Linked DNA regions of Oreochromis niloticus. The protein of the gene in region 2 purifies or fractionates together with the protein of the main gene of each other region. This does not show direct contact. Links are inferred from orthologs where the notes say so. Each region holds a gene or a part of one and is shown on either strand. Other genes may lie near its edges.

What was found.
Region 1: the proteins of map2k5 (region 2) and hsp90 co-chaperone Cdc37 purify together in Homo sapiens (affinity purification with mass spectrometry; 3 studies listed by BioGRID and IntAct, with this or other methods). This does not show direct contact. The link is inferred for Oreochromis niloticus from reciprocal best matches to the Homo sapiens genes MAP2K5 and CDC37.

The regions. Positions count from the first base shown.
Region 1 is NC_031969.2:24,156,376-24,160,297, reverse strand, and holds the start of hsp90 co-chaperone Cdc37, read right to left. Parts: upstream 2,373-3,922; 5' UTR 2,139-2,372; coding exon 2,031-2,138; intron 1,823-2,030; coding exon 1,541-1,822; intron 631-1,540; coding exon 528-630; intron 441-527; coding exon 325-440; intron 225-324; coding exon 102-224; intron 1-101. UniProt on the Homo sapiens protein: Co-chaperone that binds to numerous kinases and promotes their interaction with the Hsp90 complex, resulting in stabilization and promotion of their activity. Inhibits HSP90AA1 ATPase activity.
Region 2 is NC_031965.2:12,301,680-12,305,601, reverse strand, and holds the start of map2k5 (dual specificity mitogen-activated protein kinase kinase 5), read left to right. Parts: upstream 1-1,444; 5' UTR 1,445-1,818; coding exon 1,819-1,917; intron 1,918-2,089; coding exon 2,090-2,138; intron 2,139-2,975; coding exon 2,976-3,043; intron 3,044-3,922. UniProt on the Homo sapiens protein: Acts as a scaffold for the formation of a ternary MAP3K2/MAP3K3-MAP3K5-MAPK7 signaling complex.

The DNA.
Region 1 (3,922 bases), on a different chromosome or scaffold from region 2:
CAACAAAAACTAAACCAAATCAATAAATCACACTCTGGAAACTTTTTCAAAAGTTATACTATAGCTACCAAGTTAAATAAAAGCAACAAAAACATAGTTACTTTAATCTTTGCAAAAAACTGGCGAAAGCATCCACGGGGGTCAACTTTGAGGCTTTTGGCAAGCTCCAGAATGAACTGCATGACGATGGTCTGATGAGCCACTTGCTCCATCAATGCGTGTTTCTGCACAAGGAAGAAGCATTTTTACAGCTTAATATTTAGATGCAGTATGGTCACGTGCAGAAGGAATTCATGACAAACAAGCTCTGTTTGTATTACTTACCTCCTCAACTTCAAGGTCGATGCACATGATAACCAGGTAGTTGGCAGTCTCTTCGCATACCAGATGAGGATGGTCAGAGAGGTACTTCTGGCTGTCATCCCAACGCCGCAACATGCCTGCAGTAACGAGAGTAATGAAGAAGCATCTCTACTCTCACCAGTACCTTATAACGAGAGTAAATAATGATGCATGCGAGTGCTTACCGAAATGTTTGATCTCTTTCTCATATTTCTCCACAAATGTTTTGTGCTTTTGCTCCTTCTCTTCTTCGGTCTCTTCAGTTTCAGGTTTGACATTAACAATACTCTATGAAAAGAACAGTGGAAGAATGGACTCATTAAAGACAATGTCTCTGAGTTCTACAGAAAGAATGTCATTGCATACAAGTTAGAGATGTTAATATTAATGAACCCATACCTGAAAATTGCAAGAAAAGATTTCATTGTGTTACAAAGTCAAAGACTGACAGTAGATGTAGACTTCTGCATTGAATCTACACTGTAGGTATGTCGTAACAACAACAGTTGTATTGGCTTGTTCAGTACTGTCAATTCCTCCTCTGCATTTCTGGCTACTTTTTTTTTAATACTTGCTGAATCTATCAGGTAATTAACACTACGCACAAGCATGAATGCTGGCGAGAGTATTGGATCCTTGTGGAGGTTGCTTTGTAGGATCTGCAAAGACTCAACACAGAACTCTAAATCAACTGTAAATGTTGAAACAGAAAAGTCGACTCTGTATGTGTGCCCTTTCCTATTTCCCTCAGTCTAACGTCTACTCTTAAGTAACTGGTGATACTTCCAGCTTTGAGCCAAGGATCAGTGCAGGTGATGGCAGCTGAAGCCACATCTGAAGTACCATGTCCTTTCACACATTTTATTCTAAGGCAGGACAGATGGGCACAGTGGTATAGGAGTAGAATGGATGATAAAGCAAGGTGAACAAGGTGTTGAACTTTTGAGGGGATCTAATGGCTCTGTTGTGGGGGACATGTGGTGATCATGTTTTTGGCCAATTTTTCCCTTGGATGTCAGGCTCAAACAAACAATTGCACAAGTTAAAAGAAGAAATACGGAGAAAAGACACAACAGTTTTGTTAGCTTTTGTTTTCCTGAAAATACTTGACAAAAAAAAAAAGAAAAAAAAGAGTGTAATAAATGATGTGCGATGTAAAACCTGTAGTGCTTTTTAAGCTCCACTTACTCTACCTCACCTTGCTGAACCCATCCTTGCTGAGCGTGTCTACATTCCATGGCATCTTCTTCTCCTCCCGTTGGTAGTCTCCCACCTTTCTCTCCCAATCCCGTTCCTCTTTTTTCAGTTTCTTCTCCTCAGCCTGAACTTTGCTCAACTCTGCTTTGGCATCTTCTGACGTTGAAATGGTCAGCTCCTTGATTTTCTTCTGTGTGTCTGCCAGCTTGCGTCTGCACTCGGACAGTCCCTTGTTTAGTTCTTCACCTTTCTTCTGAAATTCCTCCATCCGCTCCACACGAGCCTGAGGTCAAAACATAAAATCTTTACTACTTGTTTTTGTCAAATATGGACTTAGTTGCAAAAAGTTAAACATTCCTATATTTATGTTAAAAGTGAACACAGCACCAAAGTAAACACACGAGGTCAGCTAACAGTTCAAGTCAAATATGCACCACTTTTACTTTATGTGTAGCATCTTAATTGTAATCATGCGTGGCTTATTGGTATACCTGGTGTCTCCATCTGAAGAGGCTGGGTGTGTCGATGTTTGGATGGGTGTCATCCTCATCGTCCGACACCTCAATGTGGTCCCACACGCTGTAATCTATCCTGGACATCCTGACACCAAGACCCCAAAGCTAACACCGTTAGCTTACAATAGGCTTCGGCTACGTTCGTGAGCTATGAGAAGCTAACAAGTTTGATTGAAACGAGGACAGACCGCAAAATCGCCGCACTGCGCAGAAATACGTATTTGTTTCTTTAGAAGAGATTCTTGCTGTGTTAGATGTAGACAAACTCAGATGAACCTCCCTGAAGACAGCGGGCTGGAGAGTGCTACAGAATTCTAGAAAGAATTGGAGCTACAGATTTCCGTTTGACGTCATCACGTCATTGCGTCAACAGGACGACGCCGGAAATCGGAACACAAGAGTGCTGTTCCTTTCCCTTCGACTAGATTAAAATAAAATAAAATAAAATAAAATAAAATAAAATAAAATAAATGACTCACTGTAACTTCTCTTCAAAACATCATCGTTTTAAATTTGTCAGAACAAAAATGAAGTGTAAAGGTAAAGAATAATTTTGTATTTATTTAGTCTTAATATGTTATAATACCTTAAAGTATAGAGACTTAAAGAATTTAATTTAAAAGGACTTCAATTAATGAAAAATAGGAACCCCACATCTTCTTCTGATTGCCACAGAGAACCACCTGTCTCCATCTCATCCTATCCCTAACATCATCATCATCCATCTGTGTGTCCTTCTTCACTACATCTATTAAACTTCTATGTAGTCTTCCTCTTTCCTTCCTGCCCACTAGGTCCATCTTCAGCATTCCGTGTCCTCTATATCATTATTCCTCCTCTAAACATGTCCATCTATTTTCACCTTCATCTATTGTAAGTACTGCAGTTCTGCACATCACCCTCACTCTTGAATATCGTGAAGGTAAACAATCTGGGTAAAAAGTCCACTGCTCATCTCCAACAGGTATAGAGAAACCATCTATACCAGCCACTTTTCACTCTTTATCCTCTCTACACCTACCCTCACTTTCTCCTTACTAATCCCTTGCACTTCCCGATTCACCAACTGTCCTCCTGTCCTTCATGCATCCTCCCTCACCCACTCATTTTTCACATTAATCAGCTCCTCAAAGTACTCCTTCCACCTTCCAAGCCCTCTTTACTCGTTAGTACATTTCTGTCTCTATCCTTAATCACCCTGAACTGCTGCACATCCTTTCAAGGTCGAGGGCTCTGCCTAGCTGATAGAACAAGTCTTTTTCTCCTTTCTCAATGTCCATTCTCACGTGCATCTCACTATAAGCCTTTTCCTTTGCTGTAGACCTTGCTTACCGGTACTCATGTCTACATTCTTTATTTCCCTTACTATCCCACCTTGTCTTTGCTAACTTCTTCCTTTGAATGCTTTCCTGTATTTTTTCATTCCAACACTAAGTATGAAATATATTCTTGTCAGTTTCCCTCACCACTACAGCTGTACTTTCCCAGTCATCTGATGACTCTTCACTATTACCCAGAGCTGGCCTCAACTCTTCCCTGAACTCTGCACAGCATTCTTCCTTCCTCAACCTCCACCATTCAGTGATTATCTCTGCCTTCAACTGCTTCCTCTTTTTGATGTCCAAACTCATCTTACAGACTACCATCTAATACTGCCCAGTTACATTCTCCCCTGAAACCACTGAGCAGGCTCCTGTCTCTTTCAGATTACACCTTCTACATGTTTGTTTGCTCCATTCTTATGCCACCCTCTTCTCGACCCACTACCATCAGTGCTTTCACATTTCTTTCCTTAACCCAAAACCTCTGATCAACTTTTAACCTACATATCCACTGAACGCTGCTTCAGTCACCACTCTCCATCACTT
Region 2 (3,922 bases):
TTAGAGTCAAACTGAGCTCTCTTTGCGTTAAGCAGCTTGTCAATAGCAAGAAAAGAGGCATGGAGCGAGAGAGGAGGCCTGATAAAACGGCTTTTAATTACCAGACAGTGAATGTTGGCCTTCCTCGTCCACTTTCCCCTCCCAGCTAAGTCAGGAGTTTGATTTCTGATAATGTGGATTGCTGACTGGGCTTCATCCTCGTTGTCCCTAAAGCAGAAGGATCTAACGTCACGTCCTGGGAGAGCACGTCTGACAAAGTGCCATATAGATCCTCTGCTTTTCATCAGAAGTCAGTGCTGGTCGAGGCATTAATCTGAGCGCTTGATGGCCTTGCTTGTGTTTCCCCTTTTGTATCCAGTTGCAATTAGGCGGAGTAATAATTTCAAGCATTGCATGGAAATCAGTGGGTCTTTAACCCAATAGTTGGTACAGGTGTAAGATCAGGAAGGATCAATGCAATGAACTTGTAACATCCCTCTGGGGGTGTTTTTTAAAGGTTCAAATACAGACAAGTAAATGAATATATGGTAGATTCAGTGTTTTACATTTCCTTTTCTTTTTAAATGAGATGGTAAACACTGATAGAGGAGTTCATCCTCAGGCCAATATGGGGTGGAGACATTTTTTGTAAGAGCCAATGAAACACAGCCTAGTGTAATGGTCGGCACAGCACACACACCACCACTGAAATTGTTTTCAACTGGCACATGTATTGTATAGCCAAATTTGAGCCATGGGCTTTAACAGCTTCTTATCATTACACAGAACCCAGGTGAACAGACTTAGGTATCAAGGCTGTGGGCAGAGCAATGTAAATGAACAACATAGAGACTTCACTTTACTCAGGGATCAATGTCTTTTTTCCGTGAACTGCAATCAGAGCTGTTTATAGAGTGGACAGAGCAGCTGCTCACTCATAGGGCCGTGATCAACAGAGGTTTTAAGAGCCCTTTTGTTTTACACTCAATTATATGCTAATGGCGAGTGCAGAGTGGAAACCTTTAAATACTAATGCTGTTTTAATGTCAAGTGAAAGAGGGAAAAAACACTTTTTAAAAGACAGGGGTGGTTTTCATCTCAACAGTAGTAGATTTCCGTGTAAGTGAGGGCCATTTACGAAACATTTACAATTGTGATCTAAGGTCATGTTTTTAAAGGAATATTTATCCATAATACCTCAGAAAGCTATTGTATTCTCACTATTGTACTCAACTTATCAACCTTGATCTCAGATCAGTGTTATCTACAGCAAAAGCGGTAATAATTCCTTTTCAGTGCAGAAACTTTCAAAAACTGTTTAAACCGTATGTATATTTCATTTTATAACATAGAAAAAAAAAAAAACCTAAGATCCATAAGAATAGCAGCGTTCTCTCAAACTTCGCCTATTAGAATTTGACAGATTGATATAGATAGTGTGCAAGTCTTTTATTTTGAAAAGGCCACGAGCGGATGTTGATTCGGAAGCGCTGTTGTAGCAGTTTCCTCAAAACTAGCTACACAGCTAAACACCTCCGTTAGTACAGTGTAAACTTTGTCTCGTGGAGCAGTGGTGTACACGTTCACACTTCGGGATAAGCCTTTCATACGGTTATGACTTGACTGTGGTGTCGGCGGCGACCGACCTCAAAACCTTTTTGTTTTTTTAAAAAGCTCCGCATCACTTAAATCAAGAATCCGGACAGAGCAGGATGCTAGCATGTGTCGTTAGCAAACTGCTGCAGGAAATTAGCTGGTTAGCTTCCACATCCAGTCAAGTATTATGAGGCTGAACCTTCCCTCTTATTGCTCTCACTGAGGTTAAATACTGACAGCGCAATGAACACCGAGGCTATAGTGATCCGTATAAAAACGCCGTCAGGAGACATGGACTCGTCCGTGGACTGTCCGTCTCTTCTGAACTTCAATGACTTGCTCGTGAGTCTGCCTCTTGCCAACTATCACTTTTCACTCATAGACACACTGCACAAGCCAAAAACACACGGACTGTTTCTGACTCCGCGTATCGTAACCCTGCCTCATTAATATCTGTCAGTCTAATAACCATCCTTAGCTGTCTGGTCCTAATTCAACCTGTCAAACATTACAGGTCGCAATCAGAGATGTCATGCCTGAAGCCACTGTCACGGCCTTTGAATGTAAGTACCTGCTTTAGAGTTGGACTGCTGTAATGCTGCAAGAGGAAATGGGAAGCTTTGAATGACTGTGTTTACACACCAAAACAATAGCCCTGTAATGTAGGGACTTGTAATCAGTTATCGGATTGGTCTGAAGGAGAGGAGATCTCATGCAGCTGTGTGGGACACTTGTTTATCCATCATATACTGTAAGCACCGATCCCTGCTGTCATGGGCTAGACTCTAGCCATCTTGAACTGGCTTCATCTATCTGAGAGAGTAAAAAGCTTCACACATTTCATTTTCATTGTGTTAGCTTCTCTCTTCTCTGTTCCCTTTTTTACTACCCGTGTTAACCTCTAGCCTGCGTTTTATCCAGAAATGCCATAGCTGCTGTACTAACGGACTGATTGACAGGAGCAGTTGAAGTTTCTCTCATTCAATCAAATTAAGATTTAGGGTCTTGGAATAGGCACCATTCAAGCCTGTTTATGGATAGAACATGCAAAGAGTTTGATTGACATACAAACATCAAAATAACGCTTACTGAGTGCTTTTATACGTTATATTTTATTGTATGATTTTGATTGTATGTTTTGGCTCCCCAAATTTTGCTATTGCATTAATACTTAATATGGAATGATATGCTTTCTTGTTTGCTTGCCTTTTTTTTTAATTAAATGTTTATTAAATACATAATAGTGTTGTTTTACAGTATCCTCTGTTTATATTTATATCACACTTGTTCTGTTTTGAATTTTCTCTGTGATTTCCCCCCTTCCCCATTATTAGTATTTTATTTTTTACAGTTGTACTATTTTTGTTTATGTGTTGTTTTTGTGTTTTTTGTTTTTTTAGATGAAGATGAGGTGGGAGACAGAATCACAGTAAGAAGTGATGAAGAACTCAAAGCCATGTTGTCATATGTGAGTACATAAATGTTGCATGCAGTACTTTGACCAAGTCAGGCAATAATACCCACAAATTACAATACTGTGCAAAAGTCTCGAGCAACCCTTGCTTCATCTTTATATTTTGTTTCCAACAAGCTGAACTTTGTAAGTCTTTAAAGTGCTCTTGAGCATAATTCTCTAGGCTATCTGAAGGTCAGGATATTGGCTGATTTTTATTTTTTACTCATTTTTAGTTCAGTCCTTCTACCTGACCATTTTCAGAGGACTGATGTTTGTTGTTTTGAGCTATTAGTCAAAAATCACATATCTCGGCAAGGTTTGTCAAGAAATCAGAAATGGAGAACAAAAGAAGATGTGGTAGGCCTAAAAATATTATCTACAGTAGATGAAAAGTATCTGAAAGCCCAAAGGAGTCATTAAGACATGGGAAAGCGAGGGTCAGATCAGCATGAAGAAAGGTAAAGCAAAAAAGAGACAGAGAATTTTTTTTAAAAAGGGTGGGAAAAAAAGACACAAAGGACAATAGGTCACCAACTGCTGCATCTGTAACAAAACCCATTCAACAAATAAACAGCACCTGATAGGGGATAGATACGCAAACGTACAGTCTTTCTGTGTGTATGTGAGTATGAGTTTTATTGTCTGTGTGATTGTTTGTGGTGTTCATGAAAGTTACATGATAATGAGTTTGAGAAACAAAAACAGCCACTGGTAGCCAGAGGTGACAACCTAAATTACACAAGATATGGACTGAAACTGTGTGGCAACAGGTCTTATGAAGTGATGAAGCTAAATTTGTTTAAAGTTGGTTGAGTTTAGGTTAAAGGTAGAACAGTGAGTTTCTACAGCTATCTGTTAAACGCTGTGAAGGCTCCGTCATGGTTTGGGGCT